4 linked regions of the Arabidopsis thaliana genome follow. The protein of the gene in region 2 interacts with the protein of the main gene of each other region in a pairwise test. Each region holds a gene or a part of one and is shown on either strand. Other genes may lie near its edges.

Region 1 (7,634 bases), about 15 Mb from region 2:
CCAAACAAAACATTACCTGAATTTGTATGTGGGTCGTCTCTTCCTTGAGCTGTGATCATGTTGCCTTGATGATCCATAGGCCGCCTCACAAATATATCACAGTTCTGAAAAACAGCTGCCGCATCTCCAAATATGAAATCAATCGTACCTATTCCAAAATTTCCCAAAAATTCTTAATCCATGTATGATCATGACTAGCTTCCATACGAGTTTAAACAAATGGTACATAGATTAAAAATAATACCATAAATATGACAATCGCGGTAGAATTGACGAAGTGAGTGCGTGAAAAGAGTATCTTGATATCCTTTGAAACTACACCGATAGAATAAAGACAAGTCTGAGCTCACTCTCAACGCCACAGCTTGATGTTTATGTGGTCCTGCAGTATTCTCGAACGTTATGTCCCGTGCCCAAAATCCATCCCCGGACACTCCTATATAACGAGTAAGCGCAGTAATTATTCAACATGCATGATCTATGTATGAAGATTAATAGTAGAATTTTAAATATTTTATACCGAATGTCGCTGATCCATAAGTCGTGGAACCGTCCGGGACGTTTCGGTTATTGGTGACAATTGTACGGTCCATACCATCACCAACTAGCATGATGTTTTTCATGTGTCTATCTATTTCGATTTTTTCGTTATAAACACCAGCTTTTATGTATATTATCACTCTATTCAACCGACTTTTACCCATTCTTGAAACGGCGGCTAATGCTTGGTTTATCGTCCGATGAGTCGCCGAACCGTCCCGAGCCACCACGAAATCTGCCCTTGAACTTGTTGGATTCCATGACACTAACATTCCACCGTTTTGGTTTGGTCTTGATGGTCCATGGTGTGATCTTCCTGGTCCATGATTTGGTCTCGTTGGTCTATGTTTTGGTCTCGTTGGTCCATGGCCCTGTCTCGCTGGTCCATGCAGCCCTACCAAATGTTATTAGAGATCCATAATAGATAAACCATGATATCTCAAACAAAAATTTACACTTATCTTGGAGTCTACAATCGTTATTTAGTGATAAAACAGAGCGATTTATTGTATCATTTTATTTAATTATGTATACATGAATGTATGTGTAAGTTTTCTTACTCTTTTTCATATGACCTCTAGACTTTTTGTAGAAAGCCAAAGCTTCATGGAGCACGAACGTGACGTTGCTATGGACCAAAGGCTTATGACCTTGACGTTGCTGAATTAAACCGTCTAAACAAGTGTGATGATTCGCAAGCACGCCACTTAGCCACGTTCTAACATCTTCAACGGTGAAATTCTCATGATCTACGACCAGTTTCGATAGCCTAGCTTCACTCTCATCGTAGAGCTTCTCGCATTCACTTAACCCCAATTTATAATAACTACCAGCAACTTCACTAGTTGCCTCAGTCACAGCCATTGACCCAAAACTAGTCTTGGCTTCAACCACAGCAGTTCTAGCCATTTCAAGTACATCCAACTCGGCTGTGTTTGAGGCGGTTATGACGGCAGCAATGGCTAGAAAGAACATGATAGTGATTAAGTCGGTGACTTTTACAAACGTGGACATTTTTAGTAAATGTTATTATAAGATTGTTGTAGTGTTTAGTAATTTTCTTGAAATGCGTTTTAAGTAAATAATTATTGATGTTGTTGTGTATTTAACAGCAAACGAAGAATGGAACTTGTCGTAGAAATGTAGATGAAGATGGTGGCGAGGAATCTAACAGATGGAGAGAGAGATAAGGCACGTGTGAGAGTATGTGTAAGCTTTTGTTTATATGATTATTGATGGCCCATGCATATGAGACTAACTTCATTAATTACGTTATACATTTCAGGTTGTAAATTAGTGCAACGCTCTGTATCAAAGTGAGTAAACGTATACGTCTATGTGTCAAGAACACAACCTTAAGTTGTTCTTCTTCATCATAAGTTTATTATCTTCAAGAGCTGAGAGACTACTATATATACTGGATTAAACCTAAATTTTTATATACTGGTATAGTGATATATAATCATAATCCCATTATTACGAATTTACGATGGATAAGATATATATATATATATATATATATATATATATATATATATAAATAAAAGAAATTTTCAGGATTTGGAGTCAAAAAGAAAAGAAAACAAAATCCATGAATGATCAGTTATATTTTAATAGAATAATATATAAAGTAATAATTTTGTTGGAGTAATATGTTGTAACATTAGTGAAAATTACTATTTTTGTCATGGGTTTATATGTTTTTGGTAAAAGAATTTCTTGAATTAATTTTTAAAAAAATACAAAAAAAAAGGAATGGTTGCATGGAAAATGTTTTAGTCTTTTAGATATGTTACACGGCTTAGAAGCTTAGTAGGCCGAGGCCCAGTCCATAATAATTTAATGGCTCAATGGAATATGTGGTGAAACCCATGAGAACCGGGTAGATCCGGATCGTAGAAAACCAAAGAATTGATTGAATGGAACCTCTCAAGTCTTATAAGCCTTCTTCTTTTTTTTTTTTGCCGGCAGAACCTTTTAAAGTTTAATGATACTCAATCGATCGAATCACGTTGTTCTCCGGAAATGATAATCTACTTATCTAAGTATGAGTATCGAATAATTGCGCCTGCTAAGGAAAGTGGATTTTAGTCTAAAACTAGTTAATGGAATAAAGTTAGCATCTTTTTAAGGCAGACAATACGGGTCACACTATACAAATATTTAATACCTCAAAGCTAAAAATCATTATATCATCAGTCACTAATAGTTTTCCTTTTGATAAACCAAAAATTTCAGCAAGGAACGGTAACGGATGTGTTCCTCCTACAAAATAAAAGGAATAGTGGAATACAAGAGAGTTCAAAAAAAAAAAAACAGGTCCCTAGAATCTTGTATCCCGAATCATGCCTTTCATTATATCAATCTGCAAATCAGATAAGAAAAATTATGAGATCATGATACTTATTTCTAAATATATACTAAAAATGAGTGATTTGATCTTAAATCTTAATCATGTGAAGATTAGGCAAGTAAGTATAGACTTACGCATGGAGTTTCTACAAAGGGAGAGGAGAACAACAAGAATTGCGAATCCAGCAATGACTCCTACGATGATCGCGATTGATTTCCCCACGTGATCTCCATTCGTTGGATCTTAATAACGAAAATTAGATCAAATTTAAAAAGATCTTAATATTGTATGTGACAAATTAAAGTACATAAGATAAGGACAATATAGTATCAAGCTAAGAATTAGATTTTCTAAGATGCAATGACTTTTGGACTATGTGATATTGATCAAGCTATAAAGAATATATAAAATAAAGTTGAAAATGGGGACATGGGTGGCTATGCCTATAAAGAAAAGAATAATATATTGCAAAAACATTCTTTTCTGACCAATGATATTATAATCATGATACTCGAATTTTCCAACGAATGATTCAAAAGATTAATTCTATTTTATTCAATACTTAATGGTGTCTTTCCAGTGGAAATTACAAAAAAAAAAAAGCAACGAAAATTTTATGATTTCTTCAACTTTCTCGTGCTACCAAGGAGCGACTAGACTTGTGATTTTCTCAATTATAAGCGGCGGAAATTTAAATTTTGTCAAATTCTCACACATTTCTATACAGTTCATTACTACAATTTTCAATTATATTATCATGGCACTAAGCATGATTCACGAATATAATTAAAGAACTTACGTAAATTAGAGCAATAGCTAATAAATGAAATAAAGATTTTAATTTATGGACTGACCTGAAGAGAAGTCATAGTAACCAGAGCCCCAATAACGAGCATAGCACTGAGCCAAGTAAACCTCAGCTGCAACCGCCGAGCCACAAAGATTCTTTAATTTTCCGACAGACTCGGCAAGACAAGCCGTACAGTCACTAGGACTCAAGTCACCAACACACTGAGCATAACCTTCGACTAAACCGGACCGGCTAACTTTGTAACCGAGTTGAGTCGACTCAAGATCCGACAACACATCGTCTCTCCGCTTAAAGAAATCGTAGTCATTCTCAACGCTCTTGGAACTACACTTCTTGTACCTAAGACTTGTGTCTGGTTTCCCTAGAAAATCGTTTGTTTCGTAACGTAAGAAGCAGCCTTCGAGCTGGAGAGAAGCGCCGTAAGAGTAAGGACAAATGAGAGTGATTTGATCGACTGAGGTTTGGATGCATTTTGAGCAGTCTGATGATCGGAGATCGTCACGGCATTGATAGAGGCCGAAGACGGCGGAAGAGGATGAGGAGGAGGAGGAGTCGTTGCCGACGGCAAAGCTGTTGAAGGACGCGTCAGAGGAGGAAGTGACGACAGAGGAGAGGAAAGTGTCGCGGTTTGACTCAAAAGGTGTGTTTGGTGTGTATTTTTCCGGTGAACATCCTCCGTAGATGAAGATGTGAGATTCTGATGAAGATCTTGAGGAGGAGGATGAGTAAAAGAATAAAAAGAGGAGAGAGAAGAGAAAGAGTCTTCTCATATTTTCTTGTTCTTTGAGATTGTTTTCAAAGGAGCTTTCGTTTTTGATCTATCTTATTCCTTGTAGTGTTTTATTTAACAATAATAATCGAGAATGATTATTCATCACTATGGGTCCGAAACTTTTATCGGCGACATTAATACAAACATGTATAATGCATACCGTAGTTAAGAAATAAGTGGATATATATAAATGTAGCTAGGATGAATACAAAACTACATAATAGATCAACAAACGTGGTCTAGAACATTCACTTGTAACGAATCAATACCAAAGTGTAGACAAATTGGATGATAACATTATTGTTTTGTTAAGAGTGCCTAAAATGATTTAGACATGATTAAAGAAGATTTGGTTTTGTGGGTATAATAATATCTTGAAACTTCTTTTGTGCAAAGAGGGTCCCATTTTAGGCATGTCCTTTTGATTAGTATATGTTCGCTAGATCGATTCCATCACACATATTCTCATCAAGTTAGTGGAGAATTTTCAAGTGATAGAAACAACTTTCTTTAAATCCTGACCACGACCAAAAGGGCTAATTAGATTGATCATAAGAGATTTAAAGAAAACGACGACTAAAGTGCTTAGCTTCATCAAATGTATAACCTAGGCGAAATTTCGATGCTTCTCGACCTATCTTCACCTCTACAAAAGAGTAATTTTGAAAGGTGAGAATTTTCTCAAGGACGCTGCTAGACTCGTCTTCTTCTTCATCATCTAACCATAGAGTGAGCTTCAGAAGTGTTGCATTCTCTAAGATGTAGTTAGCAACCTCGGTTTCAGCTTTTCGGCTTTTCTCTTGGTCAGCCTTGGGCGTCATTTTTATTTTGACATTCTCAATGGATGTTTGGAGACATTTTGGCACTGGTGAGCTTGCAATTTCCTCCATCTTTGGATAACCATGAAGCTCCTACAAAGGAAAACACCATAAGACATGTATAATATATATAGTCACTCGCTACTCTCAATACCAAGAGAAGGAATCATTACCAAGTCAATAGATTTTAGGTTGGGACTGCTGGAGAGATATATAGGCAACATCTCTGAATAGTCGGTATGGAGAAAAGCGTACAAACGGGTCAAGTTCTTGAATTCAGGCAGTTGTTGCAGTTTTGTGTAAGCATAGGTTCCCTGTCAAGAACCAACACTTGGTAAGAACAAATACATGCATCTAGAGTATGGCCAGAGATGCTAAGATCTGTGACCTCCGAGAACTCAGCAAAAAACTTGTGCAAAGTTTGCGTGTTTGAAAAGTCATCTCCCCATAAAACCGTACATCGATACACATCTTGATAGAAGAAATAACACTTTCCACTCTGAAGTCTTCCAATGGAAAATCTCTGATACGCAGAAACTCTAAGCTAGGAGTGTCAATCACAAGTCCAGATTCTCCATCATCACCCAAGGAGACATCATCATTTTCTCCCTTAAAGATAAATGTCCATAGACTCAAGCTCCTTAACGTCTGAGATCGCACTTTCAAAAAGTCAACTCCAACATCACAAATGCTCAAGACTTGAAGAACAGGAGAGCACGAGATAAGCATCTCTAGAACCACATCACTCGGTGTACTGCGAAACCCTAAATGCATAACCTCAAGGTGAGGTAGATAGAAAGACTCACAACTATCAAAATCATCCAGAATTACATATTCTAACCGCAAGTTTACAAATTTAAGAATCTGTCGAGAAATTAGGTACAAACCAGGAACACTTTGCCAGAGATTTCTCCATCTTGTCGGTAAGACACTTGTCCTAACAGACTCACTCGTGGGAAGATTCAAGAGTATCTCTTGCAGCAACTCATTGGGCAATTGGCTTATCAAATCTTCCATTGGTCCCTAAATTGATCAACAGAACAAAGAGACAAAGACACGGTATTTATTAGCTAAGGTCTAAGAAAACAAATCAAAATTAAACCGCGTTCTGCAACATGAGTCGTAGAAATTTCTAGACCAGTTAACACGAAATCGCATTCATAGAAAGCAAATTAAGTTGAGATCAAGTTCACAATCAACGTACGAGCAGAGCACTCTCAGATATTTCCAAAACCTAATAAACCAAAAAATTTGAGACGAGTTTATGGAAAGAAGGGTTTTGGTTTCACGTTAAAAAAGTATCTTATCTTCTAAAGACTCTGGTCTAAAGAGAGTGTTTCTACTTTTTTTACAATAACGAGCTTTCGAGACATGACTAGGGTATACGTATATCACAATTATTATGTATGAGGTTAATTTCTATTTTTCGTTACTCTTTCTTTCTTATTAATTATGTTTTAAGAAAAAGTTGTATATTTAGTCATTATCTTATTGGAGACTGGAGAGCATGAAACCACACACAAAAATCAAGATACTTGGTCGAGAGAACCAATATCCTAGTCGGTAACCTAAGAGCAACCACATTGGTGAGCTTTTAGCAAATATTTTTAACAATAATTTTATAATTTATTTTGAAATTAAGAGTTTTAATAAAAAAAAATTTTTTAAAAGTGTATTTTGTCTCTTATATAAGAGTCAAATCTTAACTATTTTACCAATTAAATATTAAATTTAAATTTTAATATCTCTAAAAATTATATCAAGAGCCCACCAATGTAAATGCTCTAAGAGCTTGTTAATCCATATATAGCACAGTAGCACTAGCGTTATAATATTTAAATCGAAATGTAGAAGAACAAAATAAATCAAATTAATAAATTATCGTCAATTAGCAAATAAAGATTGAAAAAATTATAAGATTGTTAGTCAAGGGAGAAATCCACACAAAATCTATATCAAACACAGTTTGGTAAACTCTACGAGATGTTTTATATCTGATGGTATGCGTTATCCAAAGTATATTACACATAAAGAAGGTCCAATCTTCATATAAAGTTAAACAAGAAACTAGTGATCATCATAGAGGCAATTAGGATAGCCAACCACAGTTGATGTAATCTTCTGTTCATAACTCGACTCAAATTTCATTTTGACCTCATCACAAGCAAATTTCATGGTCCCTGCCTTATTTTCTCTGCAATCCGGAAGAAACAACCGCAACCCCAAGCGCACTTCGCTTCTCTCTTTAATGTCGTTCACAATGTTTTTTCCAATCGCGCCATTGATATCCTCTTCAGAGACATCCCCTGAAACCTTGAGCAGTTGAGGCCAATGAAACAG
Region 2 (7,730 bases):
GCATTAAGAACGTCGTGACGCCATTATGCGGAACACCAATCGAAACCACATCACAAACTGCTTCTGTGCACAAAATCTAGCTATAAACCTGATCAAAATCCTCCCATTCTTCTACGCAGTTTGTGGACACCTAAAAGGCTTTAAACTTAAATATATTTATTGGGCCTCAAACGAATACTTCTTTCAGCCCATATCGTTTTAATTAATTCACATTTGGATCTCAAAGGATTTCAGTTTTAAATTTCCACATTACACAAAGAATTCAAAAAAGTCAGTTAATATTTAACATTAATTTCTAAATCTGACCCCATACTTTTAATTCAATCTTTTTCATACCCATCCCTTTCTAAACAAGATATTTAAAGGAAAGATAAGATTAAAAAACAGTAACGGAGACGATTCCTAGATTTTATATATTAACCGTTAAATAACTGACGATTTCGATAACTTTTTCGTTTAATTGATAGTCTCAAAACTTTAGCCGGAGAAGTCTCCGGAGATCTTGAGAGGCCGAGTCATCAATGGAAACGACAACAACCTGGCTTTTCGCTTTCTTCTTCGAGAAAGACGGCAAAGGTAACGAGCTTGGCGCTGGGGAAACAGCGAATATCGAAGATCCGGCATAAATATCATCGGCAGAAACCTCCGGTGAATATTTACGAACTTTGATGTTTGAGAATGAGTCAAAAGACTCTCCTTTTCTCCTAACAATGTTCTTTGTCGTCGTTCTGAACTCATCGGAACCGAATCTTCTCCTTTGATCAGGTTTGAGAGGCGGTTTCCGGTGAAAATGATTCCTCCGGGAGTTAAAAAAAGTCGCCGGAGAATCTCTCATCCGGTCAACCAAACAATTTTGAGGCCTGATAATTTCGGTTCCCATCTCTAAAGATAAAAACAAAAAAATTATAAAAAATGGCGCCGGAGGAATTCCCTTCGGCGGCTAATAAATAAAGAAGAAATCGTGGTGGTAGAAATGAGGGAGGAGGAAGAAGAAAAGGGTCAAATAGTCCTTTTCTTCGATTCCTGCTCGAAATTTTTGTAAATTGGTTAAAATCTACAAATAATCTAATTTATGAGTTTTTTTGCTGGTTAATGGAATACTGGAATAAATAGAAGAAATTAGAAGAGATGACAAAAATGGAGAAAATGGCTTCTCTGTCAGAGCTTCGTTTCCTCGTAACGATGCATCTGTAACCTAAACACATAATTCTATTTTTCTTTTTGTTTAATTTAGTTTGTTTCCCTGTCCGTTTTTCCATTTTTAAATTTGATTTTCCACAAATCTAATTTTTGCTGAATTAATGTAATGTTGCTCTATGGGATTAATCAAACAAGCATTGGACTACATATATTGACATGTTTTAAATGAGAACTGTAAATATGAACTAATTCCAATGACAAATCTTTTTCAAGCTGTGATGATGGAAACAAGTGATTGCTTCCAATGCAAGAAACTATATTGCCGAAATATAGTTTGAGTGTTTTTGGTAGAATTCAAGATTGATGTTGTTTATAGAAGCAAGCACGAGTGGCTTGGGAAGACATTGACCCGTTATTTTCTAGAAAAAGATGTGAGACACTGTTTTCGTCTGCCTTTGTCTCTTCTGGACACGAAAACCATATCAAATCACACAAGGGTGTACCAGACTTTATCGAGTGAGATTGAAGAGATCACGCCCTTGGTTGGCTTGGGATCATCTTTCTTAACTCTTTAAGTATAGATTGTATTTTTGACGTAATTTGAAAGAAGAAATGTGGCAATTTCTTACACTTTTTCTAAAGGGTATTTGTTTCATTAGGTATAATTTCTTCGTGCAAAAATAGAAAACTTTGTCTGTTAGTGTTAGGTTATTATAATGATGAAACACATTCACAAGACTTAAATGTATGGGTGACAACTAGTATGGATTCAGTCATCTCATGGAGCAAGTTCTCAACAGTGCAAACCATTAATCCGAGTTGGAATATGTTTGCTGATGGGATGAGTTTCTTGGTCGGCGAGCATAACAAAGTTGTATTGTGTTACCCTAACCGGACCCCCAACGAAATCTTACACATTGGGGAAGAAATTTATCACATACAACATTTGGATGATCATGATAGAGATTCTACCTCAAGATCATCTTTTCTTCTGAATTATGTTCCAAGTTTAGCTCGAATAAAGATTAGTATGAATCAATATTAGACAAGAAAGTATTCAGACAAGAGTGCGGTTGAGATTACACCGATTAAACACAAAACTGATGCAAAATCTGCAAACTTATTCGAAGAGCCAGAGAAGAAGTAGATCTTGTGGCTACTGCTCTCTCCTCTGAAGCCTCTAACAATCATGGCCTGCATGCACATAAATTACAAACTTCTTCAACAGAGAATTCTTATTTGATTCTCAAATCAATGAGATGATAATAAGTGAAATCTATTTGACCTGTGATATTTGTTCGGCATGACGAAATATATTCTTGAAGATGCGGCGTATGAATGACGCGAAAACTACAAAAAGCGATCACTTGTAAGATGAGATGTATATAGAAAGAGAGAAGAAACTTTTAGATTCTTACTATCAAGTGTCTCCAGAACAGTAAGCTGCTGCCAGTTTACTCTTCGCGATACAATTCCCAGTGAAACACTTCGGACCTACAATGTAACATATGCACAACGTACCATTATGTGGTTTAGGACTTGGAATAACTAGGCTGATTGATAATATTAAAGCGAATAAGTGAACAGTCGTTACCTCATCGAAAACCAAATTAATGAATCTCAGTGAAAGCAGTAGCGTGAGGATAATTTCACTGACTGGAACACCAATATATGTCAATGGGAACAAGAACCAACGTAGAGCTAGTGCAAGTTGCTCTGGTGTTGTTGTTGCAAGGCAAATACTAGCACTTTGGAAGATCTGTGACCAAAAACCAAATGTTCCATTAAGTGATCTAATCAAGAAAGGAAATAGGTAAACCGCGGAAGTCGAAAAACCGACTTACAATAAAGGTTAAGCATGCGGCTGTGCTTCCAACAGACAAACCTTTCCTTGTGAATTGCAAAGGACCAAGCTTCAGTAACATGTACGAATAACCGCTTAAAGACATGGGAAGATTAGGCAAGCTTGTGATTGAAGATGGTGGTGTTCTTGATTGAAGCATTGGAGGTGCACCATCTGAACCTAGCCCCAATGTTATGAAGAGAATACCCGAAAGAAGCGACACTCTCGCCAATTGATCCTTTACAGAAAAAGTTAGGAAACTCAGCAGAGCAGATAGATCACATATAGAAACAGAGTTGTGACAGAGAAACAGAACTCACTATCCAAACTTGTCTTGGGAGAACAAGGATTGACAAAAGAGCTGTGCATAGAACAAGTCCTAAACGCACAACTAGATTTGCTCTTGCTGGAAGAACTACTAGAGTTAATAGCCATACCTACACATATATACAAATACCAAAATTCAAGCTTTAACAAAAAAAAAAAGACTCAAACTTTTTAACAAAATTGGATTAGAAATTTGATAAGAATCAAGAATTCAATATACCAATTTGATTCTGGGATCCACCGAGTGGAGAAATGTCACAGGAGACGATATGAATTGTCCGATGGGACTTCCGGTGGCGCTTGAAATCAATCTGAAGACGTTTTCGGCTCCAAGTCCTGGAATTGGTAACCGGTTCACCCAATTACCGGTTTTACCGTCTCCGTCGACGGTGGCTCTGACAATGAAAACCCTTTTCGCGGCGAGAGAGGAGGAAGGAGTCTCATTAAGCCGGAGCGGGAAGAGAAGCTTAGGGTTTGTAAAGTTCCGGTTAGGAATTGGAGATGTGAGATGACGAATTGGGTGTTTGGGGATTAGGGTTACGGTGAGGGAGACTGTTGGATTGGCAAGATTGGAGTGATTCATGAGTTTTCAATTTCGGATTGGATCAGACATATGCCCTAGAGCGGGAAATTCTGTACTTGGTAGAGAGAGAGATACTGTAAACTGTCAAGTGTTAAACTGTTGTACTTGTTGGTTTTGTCGGACGTTGACTGTGGTTCTCAACTTCTCATAATAACAAAAGTCAAAGTATACCAAAATTTGGATTTCGGTTCTTGTTCGAATTTGATGTATATATAGACTCGTTTTGGATTTTCTCACACTCTTTTTGTATAAATCTTTTCTCGTAGAGTCATAGCCACACCAAAACCAAGATTAAGTAATTTGATACAATACAGCATATGAAAATGTAACTTAGCTTTTAAGATAGATAACATATTACTGCCTAGGAGCATTTTTGACAATTTTTGAGGTGATGGAAAAAGTTGGCTCGAGAGCTTTTTGAATATTCCAGGCGGTTCGGCCTAAGCTGCCCGTTGTTTCCAGTATTATTCCGGTGGTTTTTCCGGCTTTCTCTCCAAAACTTTGGTGCGGTCATCACAAAAATGTGAATATGTGTTACACTCAACTCAATAAATGTATAAAATTGTAAAATTCGATGGTCATGTAAACATGTTATATAACTCATCTAAACAATCCTAACAAATAAAAATGATAACCTATCTCTAAAAATCATTAGCTACCCCTCAAAACTATTTGGTAATTAATTATTAGATTGTATGCACGCTATACAATAATTCTACCAACTTCGATTTTATTTTCTACCGATATAATCATTCTTTTGATTCAAATACCGGTGTGTTACTATAGAAACATAATTCATTCTCAAAATTGAGGATCACAAAGTGAGCTTTTTACCTCTTACTCACAAGTCTAGTAGCAGCCATGGATGTGGCATAATGAGTTTGTATTTCTGCCGCTTCAGCAGCACCAATTATATTATCTATTGACCACATCAAAGTGTTTATCTGTTTTATTTAAATTTTGATCTCAAAAACTTCAAAATAAATGAATATGAGTATAGATTGACAATTAATGGAGCTATTCTATGTAACTTACGAAAAGAATCAAGTGATGCCAAGATAACCTCTCCTGGAGCAGTGGATAACAATGCCTTCCCTAACTTCGACTTAACCACCGGAGCTATCATCGAACTGCTCACCAAATCTCCACCTTCTAAGGCCGCCATTCCTATAGCCTCGCTCACCTTCCACAGCTTCTCCGCTCTATGTATATGTTACATCCAACAAAATAACCAAGATTTGGTTCATTATAAGAAGGAACAAGAACCAAGATTTTATTGTTTGGTATAATATATACTATTTTGTGGGATAGAGATTAAAATATGAATACCTTTGAAGATTTTTGTTGAGTTTATTCTTCTTATTAGTTTCATTGTTGCCACCTCCATCAATTTGTGATATGTCACCACTTCTTTCCTCATCCTCTTCAGCAATCGTTCCTTCCTCGTGAATCTGTTTTTGTTGTAAGAAAATAAAACGATATTAATAATAAAAAATACTACAATATGTGCGTCTTACATCTCCATGTTCATATAAAAGTTTTTAAAAATCCAACACAAAAATAAGATGATCTATACTAGTAAATAAAACACATAAGTCGTTCCACAAGTTGGGTTTGAATTGGAAGTTCATGATTCTTTACTACAACAAATATTTCGATTCAAATCACAATCATCTATTAACACTCATAAGCATCATGAGAGGGACTTATATGTATGAGACCTTCTTAGAGTAAGAATTGCTACAAGTGAAGATTCCCTTGATGATATGCCCTGTTCCTACCGCGATGGCCTTGGCTACACCATTTTTGTAGTCTTCAGCCTTCGGTGCAAACTTTTTCCAATCAATTTCATTGTTGTTCTTACCTGAAGTACTTGAAGATTTCTCCCCCATGATATCTCCAAGAAACTCAGGGTTTTCCATGATTTCTCCGTCTTCCCCTAAGAAACTCAAGGCTAGCTCCAACAGTTCGGATTTATCGACGATTTGGACTCCGTAATCGGGATTCTCCAACAAAACTTCTTCGTTCACCGCTTGGGCAGATTGGTTTTCTTGGGTTGATGTGGACATTGTGTCTTCTTTCTTAGTACAGTAGTACTTTTAAGTTTGGTTTATATGTGAGGCTCGTTCCTATATAATGTTGGATGATCGAAGGTAATGACGTAAACACTTACCATTTGATCATATTAATAACCAACAAAAATGTAAGACCATAAAATATGATCATATAGCTTGGTAGTGAAGAATAAGTAAAATTTTCTAGTTGTATAACTAGCAAGTTGTTTCAACAGAAGATGAGAGAATACCTTTTCTTAATATATGATTTCATCTATAGAAACAACTTCTAAATTTGACCATACGTGTTATGTTTTCCAAGACTTCATCAAGTTGCTTGTTTAACTGGTTTTTGTAGAGTTTACATTGGTGTTTTGTGATATCATTCTCCTAAGGTATGTTATACATAATCCCAAGTGTGTTATTCTTCTCTGATGAATTATATTCCCCCAAAATTGAGTTTTATATGTTTTGTTTCAATAGTTGACAAATAGAATTAGTTCTACGCAATCAAATCGTTCATATTATTTCCATCGACATTAACAGATTGAAATGTAATTAGGAAGAGGGCGTCAAATAAAAACTAATTGTTTTAATTTGACCAGTTTTTCATATTGTACTTATACCAAATCGGACTACTTGTGTAATTGGTTACACTAGTTTTGACATGTAATAAGTTGTATTAGTTTTCCTATAAAATATTAAAAAAATGTATTTGAACAAAGGTTAAATAAATATTGTCATCATCTCGAGAAGACATAATCAATACAGTCATTGTCATAAAACTTAACATACTTTGTAGAGCTTATGACATTTTGAGTAGCTCATTGATACATTACAAACTATAGCTGATGAGTCCACATTATGTAGAGAATCTAAATATAAAAACTGAGCTTGTTTTTGGGGGTTTCCATCGATCATACATTGATAAACGTAACTGAAACTATAACCCACTATATATCACTTTCTTGGAGCATTTTTGACGATTCCTGATGTAAGAGAAGATGAAGGATAGAAAGTCTTACGGATCTTGAGAACATTCCAGGCAGTTCCAGCTGCGTGGCCCGCTGTTGCTAGAACATCTCCGGTGGCCTCCCCTGCGTTATCTCCAAACCTGTTTTGCCAAACATGTTATTATTAATTTATTATCACCTTAAAACTCTTAAAAATGTGTATCATCACTAATGACTTCTCAATGGACACATGTTAGATTTGAGGATTATAAGGTGAAAATGTTACCTCTCACTGACCATTCTGGTAGCAGCCCTGGATGTTGCAGATAGAGTTTGTCTCTCTGCAGCTTCAGTTGCATCTAGTATTTTATCTATTGGATCAAACCAAACATTACACCTCATTAAAGTTTTTTTTTTCACACCCATAACTTTTATTTGCTCTAGTTTTTGACCACAAAAAAAGATTTTACATAGTTATATATCATAACTTACTAAGGGCATCAAGTGAAGCTAAGAGGACCTCCCCTGGAACCATCGAAAAGAAGGCCATCCCTGGTTTCGACTTCATCATAGGGACCATCACAGAGCCGCTCACAACTCCCGCACCATTCAACATCGTCTTGCTCAGATTCTCAGTCGCCTTTGACAGCTTCCTCACTCTATATACATGTTACATCCATCCAACACAGCAGCCAAGATATTAAACGAATCAAAAACCACAATTTATGTCTTTGTTCTTTGTTTGCGTTTACATTTGAGTGTATATACTTCCATTGTGAAAATTTCTTACGTAACAAAAAATATACAATGTTATAAAACTATTGAGTGAG
Region 3 (8,238 bases), on a different chromosome or scaffold from region 2:
GTGCTAACATGGAGTTGAGTTTGATTGACATCTTTGTATAACTAACATGACCTTAACTTGTCTCTCTTACGAATAATTCATTCAATCATGTATACATCAACAAAAATTCTCACTTTTCTCTTTTGATATATTAATTATAGTTAATGAAATTCTTTTGAATTGGACGTTACCAAATGCACATATCTGGCGTGACTTAGTAAGTAATCACAATATCAGTGATTCAGTATGAAGAAAAATGAGACAAAATAAACTGAGCACTCTCTTTTTCATATGATGGTGTGGTCTAAATAATTATTGATTGGGGGGAGGGGGAACGTTAAGTTAATTTTCATCTGTAGAAAAGAGTCAACTGAGTTATATGGTGTCAAGTAGAATGATTCTAGTATTAGCCATTAAAACTCTATGTACATAAAAGAAAAAACTTCGATTTCATAATGAGCTCTAAATCCAAACAAAAGTAACAAAACAAATTCAGATCCAAATGGTGGCGTTATTTAAATGTAACATCCAAAACGTTACTTTTTAAGAAACTTTTTTTTATGATACTGTAAATAAAATTGATGTTCGAATACTCCTAATTATTTTTAATGAATGTTAAACTTACTTATCAAAAAGCCGTTGTTATATCAAGCGCATTGTTATCGGATGAGAGTTTGAGTTTTATGAATTTTACAACTTAAATGCAAGAAGAAAACCATAATTTTACAAAATCCTCGTATTTTTTTGTTCCCTGAATTTTGAAGAAGATCGACTTACTCCTAAATTCTAATGAGTATAACATTAAAAATGTAATCGAGTGAGTATTACTTTAGATATGAACAATACTATCATTTATTTAGCATTCTATATATATATGAACAGTGTAATCTTTCGTCGCTAAATTTACTGGAGCTATATACAAAGATTGTTATTGGAGATTTCCAGATTGAAGCTCAATATAGCTTGTGGCATTTTTAAGTTAAACCGTGATGGATTATACAAAACCAGAAAGGTGTAAGAAAAGCGATGAAGATATTTATTATAGTGTAAACATGTTGTATTAAACAAATAAGTAACAATTGAATCCAGAGAAAAAAGTAGAAAAATAGAAAATTTATAAAAAGAGAGAAAGCTCCTTTGAAAAGGGACGGCCAATGACTATTGTCAAAATGCTGACGACTTAAAACATGGTCGTGGAATAAAGTTGGAACCGTCCATATCAATTTATATGCTTCCTCCTAATAAATAAACTTTAGTTTTGTTTTGATAATTTTTAACTTCTTCTTTCTCTCCCGTTAGAAAAATGGAGCATTCCTCTTTTACATCAATTGGTGAATTAATGAGTATCCACCACACATATGACATATACACATATTCATACATGTAAGATGTGTCATGTATGCATGTATGAGTAGTGTCATGTGTGTGCACGTACGAAGCCATACCACATATACATGCAGATATAATGCATGCATGTGTAAGAGCAGACAATATATTAAAATATCGAATGTTGACGGTGAGATGGAAAAGGAAGGTATCGTATGTCTAAGGTTTATGGATTCCACGTCCAAAAGATAAAAGGTAAAAGATAAAAGAGCCTTCACCTTCGGTGTGACCAATCAATAAATTTCTATATAAAATATATGATATCATCTTTCTTTTTTTCTGTTTCTGTTAAACGATATCTGATGATAACATTATATATCATGTACTTTAAAGTAATATTTGGAGCGTTGAAAATGACAATATTTTCTGCTTAGTAATAATTATTATTATATTCTATGCTTCTCGTAAAAGTAGTACTATATGGGGTCTTCTTTATATCTAGAGTAATTTCTTTAGCTTTCTGAAATATGATTCATATGTAGTACATAATGTGAAATCAAACATTTTAAATGAAATTATGCAATGAATGTGGTTACTAAAATGCCTCAAATGAAATTGTATCCTTTGGATTTAAACAATAAACACGATCGTTCTTATATGATTCATGAATCATTATTGTATACGAATCATTATTGTATACCTTATCAGTTGATGATTAATTTTAGTCACTTTTTATTTAGACAACGAAAGTAATTAACACGTTAGTAAGACAAATACAAATAAAGTTCTATAATATGAATCGTCAGTTTTTTATACATAGGATTCGCTTTGCAGTACTGCATTCCCTTCTCAATTTTTCTGAGTGTTTTTTTCCCCTTTTAAAGAATCATCTGAGACACTTTCGAGAATAATTTAATTCTTCTCGTTGAAAAATTGGACCGCATTAGTGGACTCTCTATTTACACTTAGAAGCTCTCTCAATTTGTTTTTGCTTCTAGTACGATCTTCTAATTAGCATGTGAATGGCCAACAAATAAACGCATGTCCAATACATCAACCGTTGCTTTCCCTTCTTTAAAGCCTGTTTAAATTAAAATATCATAATAAGCAATAATTAAGACCGCAAATTTTTAATTAACTAATATGTATCTAAAAATCAGATGGTGAGGATAATCATAAATATCATGTACTAATCATATCGCTCCAAAAAAAATGTATACTTTATCGCTATTAATCAAGAAATATGTTAAAATAAATATGTTTGGTAAGAATATGTTCTAGAAAAGCCGAACTTTTCAAGTATAAAACGTCACAATTAGAAGAAAGAAACGTCACAATTCTCTTCTTTTTTAGACAACAGGTCAGAATTTGTTTTAAAAATGTTTCTCAATCAAAGCTTTTTTCAAGGGATTTAATGTGCTATATAAAGATTAAAAAGAAAGAAATATGGAAGTAAGAGATCTAGTAGAAACAGAGCAAGTAAAGTTAAATGTTGATACATACCGTGGAGGCAGAGGAAGTGAGGGAAATAATAGAAGTTGAAGAAGTAGTTGATGTTGATGTTAATGATGACGACGATAATAAACCTACATTGTAAGTCATGGTCTCATCAGGCTGATACAATCCATAATTCCTCTCAGAGGTTGGTCCTGGTTTAAGGTCTTCATTGAAAAGAGCAAATAGATAAACATCAAAACTCAAGTTTGGTCTCAATGGCGTTCCTTCATTTTGAAGTTGTCTCCTTAGAATATTTTTGTTATAAACGGCTGCGTTGGCCACAGTGGCTCCAACCTCATCTCCATCGCCTTTAGACGGCCATCCAGTCTCCGAGACCCCAACTTCGATGTCTTTGAAGCCAAGCCTCGCCATGGCAAAGATCACAGCGTCTACTTGAGCGTAGAGCATGTTGTCATAGCGGTACTTGGTATAGGGGTCAACCATTCCAGGGTTAGGGTTGAAGAGGACGTAGTCTAATGGGATCTTTGTTGGGGAATCCTTGTAAGCGAAGTAAGGGTAAGCGTTGATCCAGAAGGGGGAATTCGTGTTACGCAAGAAACCTAGTAGCTGTGTCATTACGCCAGCTACTTCCGGCCTAAAACATCCGGCGGATGGAGGGTAAGATTCTTGAAGGACGGATAGTGAGTTCGGAGTCGATACTTGAATGTACTTGTCTAGTCCGGTTTGGACCAAAGCCCCATGAATGCTCATCATTGCAGGCATAAGATACCTGCGAATCATAGCAATAACGAGGTTGAATACTTTCTTCTTTTTTTGAACTAGAGGATCTCAGGATGATACCCACATGACTACCATGATTTGGTTAGTAGGGCATATTTGTAATGGACCAAGATTTGAAAAGGATAACAATTTATAGGAATGAGGGGATGTATGTAACAAACCCTATAAGGCTTGAGTCATCGTCAGTGTATAGTTCGTTGCCGACGGCGATACCACCGATCTTGGTGGCCGGAAAGTAGGGTTTGATACGGGTAGTGACCCATTGGAGAGCTTGTTGAGGGTCTACTAAGCTGGGAAGCATTTCATTTTCGACGGTGACAAAGAGCTCGATATTGGAATTGGCAAATGAGGTTAACACTCGAGGGTTTGTGTCATAGATTCTTGTCTTATTGATATGGAGTGAACTCAAGAGTTGTAGAACTTTGTCCGGTGGAGGAAGATTGTCGCCGACTTGACCATAGTTGATGCCAAGAGAGGAGACCCTTTGAAACAACAATCCATGTTCTGTGAAAAAAATGTAAGAGAAATTTAAATAATTAAAGTGTAATGACAAACTGAAATTGAGATAATGAATTTTGTTTGTTGGTAGACAGAAATAAGCAATTATTCAAAAACGATACCTAAGAAAGTCAAGGAAAATAGAAGAAGAACGATAGAGTTGGTCATGGCAATTCTGCTAAACATGTTAGACATGGAGAAGAGAGAAAGAGGGAGATAAAGACTGAGGGAGAAAGTGCTTGTAAGAGAATCAATGCAATGAAATGTGGGGATAGATATAGAGATGAAGAATTGAGAAATGGGACCAAGTAGGCGACGAATAATTATTAATTTATAATTTAGAGATAATACTTTACTTTGCCTGCCTTTGTTTTATGGTGAGACATAGGGTTTCTACAATAAAAGTGACAATATGATTAATTCCAAAAATAATTCAATAAGTTATTTAAATTTATACTCGTTAGTTTTGTAATGGGAGTAGGTTTGGCAATAGGTTTATCTTATGGAAGTCTATTGTAAAAATAGATAGTGTTTGCCAAAAACATTCTTTGTGAGGCAACATGGGTTTCATAAAACATTTTGGACCCAAGAAGAAAAAAATATGACATCTTAGATTGTCTCTTTCCAACACATTGCCAACTATGTCAGTCCAAAAAAAAAAAAAAATGAAAAAGTGGCCTAAAAGAAGACACTTTCTTCAGACAAAGGCAAAGGTGGGAAAAATTGAATTGCCCACTATAATAGGTTTTTAATCTTAACAATATGTCTATTAAACACAAAGAAAAAAAAAACATTATGTCTTTGGCATAGAATTTGGAGGATCCCAAATTTGGTAGTTGGGTGAACCAAAAAAATGGAACGTAAAGAGTAGAAATCACACCATCATAATGATAAGAAGGATAGTGCGCTTATCTTCAGTTTATTATATTTATATAGTATTGCAATTTGCATCTTGTGAAATAAAAGCTCTTTTAAAAAACATTGTAACGATTGTTAGAATTGTATTTCACGTGAAATTATAGTATGACCCTCAGTTAATCCTATATTTGATATTCAACGGAGTTTAGTCGCATATTTAAAACTGATCCTACGTTTCAATTCAGAATTTATATACCGTTAGCTTACATGTAAAAGTAAATATTTCTAAATTCAACCTAACTCATCTAGTCAACCCGCTCGATCACAAAAAAAATTAGGTTGCACAACGGTTCATTATTTATGTTTTAGATGAAATAAAATAAATTAATTACTCGATTAATCAATCAATGGAAAAAAACGGTTTTAAACAAGTTTACAAAAAGAAAAGTTAATCAAAGTTGATATGTAAATTTACAGCCTAATTGGCCCTAGCCAATAATTTAGTTGTCTGAAACAATTTTTTTTTTCTTTCAGTTTGATATTAAAACAATAAAAGCTCTAACTATACACCAGGTGATAATTGTAATTCAACTTCATTTTGTACAGATTTTTGGAAGTTTGGGTTGTTACTTTTCTTATAGAACGGACTTCTTACTACAGTATAACCTCTATAAATTAATAACCTTTATAAATTAATAAATTCTTCCGGTCCCGAGTTGGGACTAGTGTAAAAAATGACACAAATCGATAAATTAATAAGATAATAATTTTTTGGAAAGTTCTATGTAAATATATGGTCTCATCGATATCATAAATTAATAATTGTATAAATATATCAACTATATATATATATTATATGTAAAAAATTTCTTTAAAATATATTTATAATAATTTTTTGTTTAAATTCATATTTGTTATTTGTTTGATTATAGTTTTCATATTTTACTATACCAAAACTTTTGTTATTTGTTTAATAATGTTTTCTAGACATTATTATTATGTTTTATTTGTAACTGGTTCTAGAAATATATTTTTTATAATGAAAAAAATCTTATAAATTTTTTTAAAAAGTTACCAAATTAAGAAAATCTCTCTATAAATTAATAAATATTAATTTATCAATAAATTAATACCTCTCTAAATTAATAAAATTTTGCAGTCCCAAATAGAGGTTATACTGTATATCGGATATTGATTAATTTCTGAAAATTTCAAATATATTAAATGGAATAGAGATCTGAAAACATATGTAAAGTAGCCTGCTTTATGAAATGATGCAACAAAAGTGACCCAATTTTATTTTTTTCGTAACCAACCCAAGAATCTAGTAACTTTTTTGTTTTTGCTAAACAAGAATCTAGTAACTTTTGGAAGATGAATTTCACTATAACGATACTTGTTTATTTGTTACATCCTACATATATACATTAATATACAACATATGAATATGCCTGTGTATACTTACTTGTTTTGGAATAAGACAAATGAGCTGATGCATGTGGTGCGCTTTATGACATCTTAGATTCCTCCGATCTGATTCAACAATCTTAACTCGAGATTCTAATGTAATAAAGGTTATAAATTAAAATTAACATATATTGTTAAATCTCGTGTTTTAAAAAGAAAAATGTTGTTATATCTCGTGGCTAATCGAATATTTAGGCGTGAACTAAGCAATTTGTTAGCTGTGTCTGAAATTTTGGATCCCGATGCTTATAGCTTATTCTTAATGTTATAACAGTAAGAGAATTGCTTGATTAACAACGAGGATCGCTTAGAATTTACCATGATCAATAGTTATATCCAAGCCGAGTTTTTCTTTTCAATTAGTCAAAAAAATTTTTCCTTAAATATAGATTTCATGCAACAAATTTGAACATATATAACTTTTAAAGTCTCTTACAATGATTTTACTTCTCTTATGTAAGCAGAAAAATCTTATATTGATTTATTTCTCTTAAGTAAGAAGAAAACTCATCTATTTTTTCTTGCAAAATTGAACGTAGGTTTTCTACTTTGACAACTAGAAACGAAACTTCTTTAACCATTGTTTTTCAAACTTTATCCACCAATATATATCTAGTTTGGTAAGAAAGATAAAGACTGACCAATTTATTTTATTTTGTTGGAAAATAAAAATAACGAACATTGCTATTAATGGGGATAGATGTGATGGATGACTAATGAATTAGTGAGGTTGGTGGTTACGACTTATGAAAAATTCGACGTAAAAGAGAGAGAGATAAAGAGCAAAAAGATTGGTCCGTCCATGTTAAAGCAAAGAGAAGGCACATGTTTAATTACTCAACAAAATAATTGATAATTATGTCACTAACAATCCACTAATTAAACCTTTCGAGTTAAGTAATATGGTTAGGAATCAATCTCTGGCTCCTTTTCAATTTATTTGATATTTCATATGAAAATCGGAAACCCTTCTCTTAGAAACCGAAAATTAATAACAATTCTATGTTATTGAATTGAAACAGCCAACACGCATAGAAGCAAATGCTCTAACCAAAACAAATACATCGTTAATCTCATATGTAAACGTGTAGATCATATACGTCTAACATGTAAGAAAAAAGTGACTGTTTAAAATGGTTGCAGTTTTTTTTTTTTTTTTTTTTTGGTTCTTAGATTTTGAGAATAAAATTAGCTAGATCTTAGCTTTTTAAATAAAAGAGAAAATCTTAAGACAAGAAGTAGGAAAACTTTTTTTTTTGGAATTTTGATTGGAGACTAAATGGGGTTTTGTTTCTTTTTCTCTGAAAACAAAACTTAAAACTTAAGACTCACGCAAAACTACTATCGTTTGGCCGGGAGTTGATGGCCTAGTGGTCTTAAACTCTCCATGTCTTTTCCAGCTTGACTAGTTTCGAACTCCCACAGTAGGAGTTAAAGATAGTGATCACGTATACTAGCCTAGACATTTTTATTAAAACAAAACTACTATCATTCAAAGGGCCCTAAGTTCAGCCAAATGTGTAATGTTGTCAATGTGCTTGATCTCAACATATATTCACCAAACTGACCAAAGTGTGCCATCGATCGGATTGAATCTACTTATGCTAGTAAGATTAACTCTGTGATAGAAAAAAAAAGATATCGCGCTTGAGGTATAGGGGAAATGATTTCATGTAAAGCTCTGTTCTATCGTCAATTACTCCCTAGCTATTAACAGTCATTATAACCGGTTTGACCATGCCTAGTGGTTATGACAGATTTGATTCAGTGCTTTTTCGAAGTTGTTTGAACTACGAAAATCTTAAACTGTACCCCTTTGTTTCTGTTTAATGTTTACGTTTTTCAGCGATCGAGTAAATACTATAATATGAA
Region 4 (7,646 bases), on a different chromosome or scaffold from region 2:
AAGCAAATGATCATTCTTTGTATGCAGGGGAACTTTGATCTTGTTGGAAACAACTTTCCTGTTTTCTTCATCCGCGATGGGATGAAGTTCCCTGACATGGTCCACGCTCTTAAGCCGAACCCAAAATCTCACATCCAAGAGAACTGGAGAATCCTTGACTTCTTCTCCCACCACCCTGAAAGTTTGAACATGTTCACTTTCCTCTTCGATGATATCGGTATCCCACAAGATTACAGGCACATGGATGGTTCAGGTGTCAATACATACATGTTGATCAACAAAGCTGGCAAAGCTCACTACGTGAAGTTCCATTGGAAACCAACTTGTGGAGTCAAGTCTCTTTTGGAAGAAGATGCAATTCGTGTTGGAGGAACCAACCACAGTCATGCGACTCAAGACTTGTATGACTCTATAGCTGCTGGAAACTACCCTGAATGGAAGCTCTTTATCCAAATCATTGATCCTGCTGATGAAGACAAGTTCGACTTTGACCCGCTCGATGTGACCAAGACCTGGCCTGAGGATATCTTGCCTCTTCAACCTGTTGGACGTATGGTGTTGAACAAGAACATTGACAACTTCTTTGCAGAGAATGAGCAACTTGCTTTCTGTCCTGCAATTATTGTCCCAGGGATACATTACTCAGATGATAAGCTGCTTCAAACCCGTGTCTTCTCCTATGCCGATACTCAGAGACACCGTCTTGGACCAAACTACCTTCAGCTGCCAGTCAATGCTCCAAAATGTGCTCACCACAACAACCACCATGAGGGATTCATGAATTTCATGCACAGGGACGAGGAGGTACTTAATAGTACACTATCAATATCTTTATATCGAACTTGAAGCTAGAATACCATAGTCTTACAAGAAGCTGTTGTTACAGGTTAACTACTTCCCGTCGAGGTATGACCAGGTTCGTCATGCTGAGAAGTATCCAACTCCGCCTGCTGTCTGTTCTGGAAAACGTGAGAGGGTCAGTAATCAACTCTGTTTTCCTCTCTGTTTCTGTTTCCCATGGATTGGTTCACTTAAGAACATATGATCTAAAAGTTTCGAAATCTGTTTTTTTTTCAGTGCATTATTGAGAAAGAGAACAACTTCAAGGAGCCTGGAGAGAGATACCGTACCTTTACACCAGAGAGGTACTAATTGTTTTATTTTTGTAATGATGCTTAATGCATAAAAGGAACATCTGTGTTCTTAACGTTTTACGGTATGTTTTCAACTTCAGGCAAGAACGATTCATCCAGAGATGGATTGATGCCCTATCCGACCCACGCATCACGCATGAAATCCGCAGTATCTGGATCTCTTACTGGTCTCAGGTCTGAAATCTTGATCTCTGTTACTGTCATTGTCTCGTTCTTCAAGTCTCAGCAGTTGAAAAGTTGTCAAGTTTTAAACATTTTTGACTGATTGGTTAAAAATGTGTGAAACAGGCTGATAAGTCTTTGGGACAGAAGCTGGCAAGCCGTCTGAACGTGAGACCAAGCATCTAAAACGAGTGAAAGAATTCTTGATTGGCCTTTCTGTGGTTGTTAATTAGCAGAGAAAAGAAAATGGGAAGAGATCAAAGTTGCGATAATACAATCTTCATCATGTGGATCTTCTGTGCTATGTTATAATAGTATCTGTTTAAAGACCAAAAGAACCTTGTGTGTTGTTGTGTCTCTCGTTTATCAGAATAATACATTATACATTGAAGATTTATAATCCGTGGTGTTACTTGATGAAAGCTCCTTCTTCCTTGAAAGATTGTGACATATTCTTATATATTTCTCATATATTAACGAATGTAATCCCGTAAGAGCTGTCGACAAAGACGTGATTTTTAGTCTGCATGTTCTGGACGAAAGGGAATAGCAAAGTATGAAACGAAAAAGACAAGAAAATCCATAAATTCTTATGTGTGGGTATTAGGGAATTTACAATAGTTGTCAATATGTGTTGTAACAGTGGCCACATTTGTGTATAACGTCGTTGTATCAAGTGTGGGGTGTCGAGAGTCTTTAGATTTGGTGTGAATAATCTGACAATTTGGATTTGAACTCTGCTTTGACATCCTGACATTAGAAAATAAACTTGGTTTTGACATTTTGGGGTTTGTATTTGTGACAAGTACTGTTCAAATGATATAAACAAGAATGACTTTTTAGTTAAAATTTGATAATATTACAAAGTATGGTTACATGCAGTTGATCGATAATTCAGAACCAAAACCAAACTTCTCTTAAAAATAAGGAAAATAAAAAGAATCACCAAATGGTTTTCTCCGAGAGGAGTTTCTGAAGCAAGATTACGAGATTTTGTTCGTACAGGTGACAATAATACGAGTGATATGGACCCAAAAAAACCTCTCTTTCTTCTATAAGAACTACAAAGATTTCAACTTGTCTCATTTACCTGAAGAAGCTTTTACTTTCTCAGTAGAGGCTAAAACCAAAGAAAGGGCTGATGACAATTCCCAATCCAAGACCAATAGCCACAAGTGACGAAACCCAAGTTAGTTTCTCTGTGATCCTTGGAACTTTCTCTTTCAAAGCCTCACTGCAAGACCCAATAAACGCTGTGTAACTTCCCATCGCTATAACTGTCCCAACCAGAAACATTATCAAAAACGCAGACCCTGCTAACCGTGATGGGAGAGCTAATGCAGGCAAAACAATCATCAGAGCATCCGGTTGCAACCCGTGAACCACTCCAGTTGCAAATGTAGCAAACCCGATCTTCTTCTTTTTGGGCAGTGGTAAGGCTTCTTTCTCTGTTGATACCATGCTGATGTCGGTTTCTAAAGCGACACAAGGTTCTGGAATCTCAGAAGCTTCCTTGATTCCCATAGCACCGATAATAACAAGAGTCAATCCCACAATTCTTGTACCCCAAGTTTGTAATACTTCAATGTGAAGCCGGTCTTTAAGTAGCAGAAACAGTAAACCAAAGATGACTTGACCAGCATCATGCCCACATCCCCAGAGAGCTCCAACAGCAGCACTTTCCATTTTGCTGCGTCCGATCGAAAGCGGAGCTAAAGCAGCGAGGTGATCAGGTCCTGAGAGCGTGTGCAAGCAACCAGCAAGGAAACCGGTCCACGCACTTGTTAGCCAACCGGATTTAGCTGCAGTTTGAAAGCTAGCGAAAGCAGGTGGTGCAAGAAGCGGGTTAAGCAAAAGCACAGCTACTGCAGAGATTAGTATAACGGTTCCAGTAGATAACGTCTGCAAAGAAACACAGATATATATTGATCTGGTAAACATCCATGAGACTACATAAGAGGACAGCGAACAAGCACAATTCCAACACACAGACTAATCAAACAAAAAAGAAACTAGATTGATTTGAGTTCTATTGTTCCAACAAGTGTGGAGCTTGAAATTAGGGACTATCAATATCTAACATGAAAAAGCAAGTTCAATGTCAACAATATCGAATTAGCTCCCGAATCCTAAAACAGAGAGAACATGATTCCATGATTCTAGAGACTGATGGATAGTAACATATGTAACCCTACAAAATTGGAACTTTTTGTAATTCTTGGAATCTTCTTCTCGAGCAAACTATATACAAACTTTTCATATGTTTCCTGAATAAAATCAAACCCCATTAAAACCCATAAACCCCAAATCTAATGTAAGCCAAGCTCGTCCCCAAAACTATACGAAAATGTGGAAATTGAAACATTTAGTAAGCATCGACGTAAGCATCCAGAGATTTCTAATTACCACTGAACAAAACGTGAAATTGAATACCTTTCGCTGCTCAGAAGCCGACGTCGCGATCCGTGTGAGAAATCCGGGATTAGGTTTCGATTCATCCGATTTGGGAGACCCATTGAAGGAATTGTTAGTTGTGTTAGATCCTATAGGCGTATACAGTGACGGAATCTGGGAACTGTTGCAGGAAATTGAGCTGACTCGGCGTGACTCGGGCCGGTGAGTCGAGACAAAGCTCAGACCCGATGAGCGGAGACGGGGAAGGAAAGGAGAAGTCCGTGAAGGGAATTTGGAAGGAGAAATTGAGGAAGAAGAAGAAGATGGTTGAAGAAGCCTTTCCATGGCGTCTCCTTCTCTCTCGGCGAGGCAATGAGTCTCGAAACTGAGATAGAAGAGAGTACGTGCGATGCTCTGTTTAAAGGATATACGATTTTTGAAAAAAAGGAATTTTTATATAAATAAGAATAATAATAATACTGTTAACGAATTAATATTTCTGTTTTTTTTTTTTATCTACTATATTTCAAAATTGAAATCACAGTGAAAAAATTAAGATAAATCTTTAAATTATTGCACTATACCACCTTAAAAATTGTTGAGTTTTACTATTAAATAAAAATGCTTAATTTCGATTTTTCAAGGGTTTAGGTAAAAGTTGGATTCGACAACTGCGTATAAAAAGCCGACTTGCCTAATATTCTTACGTTAATTAGCAATGAGACAAAAGATGTGAACTTTTAAAACATGCCATAGTTAGATCGAGCTTTTAATAAAAGACGTATGTTTATCCTATGATCGAACGTATAAAAGTAAACTCCAAAAACCATGTTATAGCCTAATCCATCAAATGTATAAAATATGCATAATAGTTGGTCAGGCCAATATGTGAAATACATGAGGATGTTTGTTGGAAAATGTCAAAATTTTCGCCTACCAAAAGGAAAAGTAAAGCACATAAATATGGAATCCACGACGCATCCACTTTCTTTCTCTTCCTTGCTATTATTTCCTCATCTGCTTATAAACTTTACCTACCTCAATTCCTAATTCCTAATTGCCCAATTTACAATCTCGATATCGAAATTTGTTTTTTAATATGGTGCAGTAAGTTAATAATAATCGAAATGTTTTATGAGATTACAAATGCATCTACGTGGCTTGATATGAAATACGTAAGCAAAAAACTCTTAAACATAACATTTTGGAGTTATTGCAAAACAATCCCAATAATTTGTATCTTCCCAAGATATCCTCATTTCTTTCGCATAAAATATGGAAAACTACGAATGCGACCAGTGGTGCACATGTAATAAGTTTAAAAATTATTATCCTTTTAAGAAGCAAAACAAACAACATGTGTATAAAGAAGAGTTCAACAACTAAATACCTCTACCATCTACAAATCAAACGAAGGTTAAAACAAAAACGATAATCGAATTAAATTACATAGTTAAAGTTGTTAAAATATCATGATATTGATATCCCTAATCGAGACATGGTATTGAATTTTGATATTGACATCTTGTGATTAAAAATCCAATAATCTTCAGTTCATAACAAAAAAAAAATCCTTTGTCGAATCATAGTAACATATAAAAAAAATATTGAAGTCGTTTGTTACTTTGTTGATTCCGTCTCTATTCGTCCATTAGCAAATTGAGTAATGATGATGTTTATGTACTTTTAATACCTGACGTATTAGTTCCAAACTTCACGTCGTGTTAAATAAAATTAGTTGGCAATCCAGTGAGTCCCACTTTCAATTTGGGCCGAGCACTTGGGGGGTAAAATGGGCCGGGCCATGTGTTTATACGTAATCCACATAATTAATTACCCACTTCGGAAATCAAAACCTATAGCAACATTAGGCGGTTTGGGTTTGCAATTTCTAGCTTTTCAACAAAGAGTCTAAAATCACTAAGGTCTTAAGGCTAATTGGGTCTTGAAGACTCAAAGCCGTAAATAAACACACACTGACACACAAAATCTCTACTAGTAGAGCTATATGACACGAAACACCCTACAATGCTAATCACCTCATCCATAGCACATAGGACTGACTGTTTATTTGTGTTTACGTTAAAAGTTTAAATCATTCTATACATAGAGATAATAATGTTTGCGTAAAAAAGTTTGTAATACTAATAGATGAAATAAATCCTATGAACAAGACAATAATCTTAAATTGTCCCAAATGAAACTTAAATAAGATTTAATTAATCTTTATGCGTTGCCTTTTTCACTATTTTCTACAATCTTGTTTATTGATAGTAGTACGATCTAATTACATAATAAGGTTATACTTATTGTTTATTTATAGGTATTAGGGAGTATCTAGAAAACCTAGGTAGCACAGATCTGTCGAAACAGAGATCGAGAATCCTTAATGAAGGAAGAAGAAAGGCCCAAGTGTTCAATGAAACATGTTTCTGTTTAGGAAAGTGCGAGAACTCAAATCCTATGGCAGGCCAAACTCTGATTCTCTTTCAATTTCTATTTTTTTAATGTGGAATTATTACTTACTATTGTGCTCTCATGTCACTGTACTATATTGATTGTTGAGCAACCCAATAATACTTACAGCTTCCTCCAATACGCGTGTCTACGGCCTCTACTACCACCTCTTTTCACCATCTTCCTACATCAAAACAAACCCATTAATATATAATGCTTCCTTTCTTTTTTTTTACTTTTTCATTGCTTTCTTTTTTTTGTTCAAAAGAATATAACTTTTTTTGTTTTGCTTTCTATGTAAATTAAAAGACATATGTTTAAATTTGATTTAATTGATTTTTTTATAAATGAAATTTTTTAAAAGATATGTTTAAATTGGATTTCATATTAGTTTAGAATTATTATTCTTTCGGTCAAAAGTTTCTAGTTTTTTGCTTATTAGGAAGTGTTTAATATAGGAAAATCTTATACATATAATCATTAGGAAAATGTATATTAAGATATTTAATACTAATGTGTTTAAAAATCCTAAGAAGTTAATTATCATTGAAATAGAAAGAATGGCATTCAAACTTTATATCCGAAAATTCATTAGATAGAAGGAAAATATGAATTATGTTCATCAAATCCAGCTGGGTTCCTTTTTTTTCTCCATTGAATGGAAAAAGAACCAAAAAACAAAAAGGGAAAATGAAAACCCTAATCAGAATTTACTTCTTGAGATAACCTTTTACTATTTCTAACCTTTCCCTATTCTCACTTTCCTTTCCTCCCCTATTTTTACCAAATTACCCTGCCACGTCATCTACCCGGAGTAAAAACTCTCCGTTCACCGGAACACAAAGGCAAGCATTTTTCCGGTGAGAGAAAAGAAAGGATTTTCCCTAGAAAATGAGGGCCTCGATTCTGCTTTTCTTGGGGGTATTACAGATCGGACAAAGAAGAAGCCCTTCCTCGCAATCCATGCAGCAACAGAGATGCCTACACGGCAGAAACAGAACTCTCGTTACTCCGTTAGACCCACAATTGCAGCAACAACTACTCATCTTCATCTTCTTCGCCGGCAAACTATTCCCGTCTCCTTCTCCGCCGCAAAACGACCCTTCGTCCTCCACCTCTGCCTCACCAGCGTCGTAACACGTGGCGGCTCTCTCGCGAACCTGTTCGAGCGTTGTGTTAAGCGTTTGCACAATTGCTTCGTTCTCACGAGCCATTCTCTGCCACGTCTGATTCTCCATTTCCATTTTTCTCAACAGATCTTCGAGTTCCATGTTCTTGTTCAATGCTTTCGACATTTCTTCTTCCTTCTGACTCATCAAAAGCAAAGCTTTACTCTCCATTTTCCGTAAAATCATCTCCATTTCTCGCTTCCTCTGTTCTTGCAACACATATCTCAACCTCTCGTTCTGTTATCAACAAAGCAAAAAAGGTTGAATCTTTATCAGTACCCACGTCTTAAAAACCGAAACTTTCGATGAA

Evidence for each region.
Region 1: the proteins of ABCI12 (region 2) and PDLP8 interact in a protein complementation assay, tested with the Arabidopsis thaliana proteins (one large-scale study listed by BioGRID).
Region 3: the proteins of ABCI12 (region 2) and AT1G30080 interact in a protein complementation assay, tested with the Arabidopsis thaliana proteins (one large-scale study listed by BioGRID).
Region 4: the proteins of ABCI12 (region 2) and AT4G35080 interact in a protein complementation assay, tested with the Arabidopsis thaliana proteins (one large-scale study listed by BioGRID).

The regions. Positions count from the first base shown.
Region 1 is NC_003074.8:22,438,875-22,446,508, reverse strand, and holds PDLP8 (plasmodesmata-located protein 8), read right to left. Parts: upstream 4,739-7,634; 5' UTR 4,475-4,738; coding exon 3,748-4,474; coding exon of another isoform or gene 3,731-3,747; exon of another isoform or gene 3,136-3,730; coding exon 2,993-3,135; 3' UTR 2,906-2,992; coding exon of another isoform or gene 2,901-2,905; 3' UTR 2,635-2,900; downstream 1-2,634. Other genes in the region: AT3G60730 (Plant invertase/pectin methylesterase inhibitor superfamily), read right to left, coding at 17-148, 245-436, 521-934, 1,101-1,554; AT3G60710 (F-box family protein), read right to left, coding at 5,037-5,387, 5,468-5,608, 5,754-6,048, 6,136-6,311; AT3G60700 (hypothetical protein (DUF1163)), read right to left, coding at 7,362-7,634. UniProt on the Arabidopsis thaliana protein: Modulates cell-to-cell trafficking.
Region 2 is NC_003074.8:7,599,828-7,607,557, forward strand, and holds ABCI12 (cobalt ion transmembrane transporter), read right to left. Parts: upstream 4,073-7,730; 5' UTR 3,894-4,072; coding exon 3,531-3,893; intron 3,421-3,530; coding exon 3,304-3,420; intron 3,222-3,303; coding exon 2,985-3,221; intron 2,900-2,984; coding exon 2,735-2,899; intron 2,635-2,734; coding exon 2,559-2,634; intron 2,491-2,558; coding exon 2,426-2,490; intron 2,335-2,425; coding exon 2,182-2,334; 3' UTR 1,995-2,181; downstream 1-1,994. Other genes in the region: AT3G21570 (proline-rich nuclear receptor coactivator), read right to left, coding at 470-880; AT3G21590 (Senescence/dehydration-associated protein-like protein), read right to left, coding at 4,724-4,812, 4,929-5,095, 5,223-5,344, 5,615-5,688, 5,758-5,962; AT3G21600 (Senescence/dehydration-associated protein-like protein), read right to left, coding at 6,908-7,061, 7,187-7,271, 7,393-7,559.
Region 3 is NC_003070.9:10,548,932-10,557,169, forward strand, and holds AT1G30080 (Glycosyl hydrolase superfamily protein), read right to left. Parts: upstream 4,365-8,238; 5' UTR 4,237-4,364; coding exon 4,164-4,236; intron 4,048-4,163; coding exon 3,705-4,047; intron 3,533-3,704; coding exon 2,809-3,532; coding exon of another isoform or gene 2,791-2,808; exon of another isoform or gene 2,387-2,790; coding exon 2,300-2,386; 3' UTR 1,924-2,299; downstream 1-1,923.
Region 4 is NC_003075.7:16,694,793-16,702,438, reverse strand, and holds AT4G35080 (high-affinity nickel-transport family protein), read right to left. Parts: upstream 4,106-7,646; 5' UTR 4,056-4,105; coding exon 3,750-4,055; intron 3,584-3,749; coding exon 3,512-3,583; intron 3,219-3,511; coding exon 2,427-3,218; 3' UTR 2,118-2,426; downstream 1-2,117. Other genes in the region: CAT2 (catalase 2), read left to right, coding at 28-804, 887-976, 1,078-1,145, 1,235-1,328, 1,443-1,502; AT4G35070 (SBP (S-ribonuclease binding protein) family protein), read right to left, coding at 7,052-7,573. UniProt on the Arabidopsis thaliana protein: Together with CGF2, essential protein which supports female gametogenesis and embryogenesis, probably by securing local energy supply.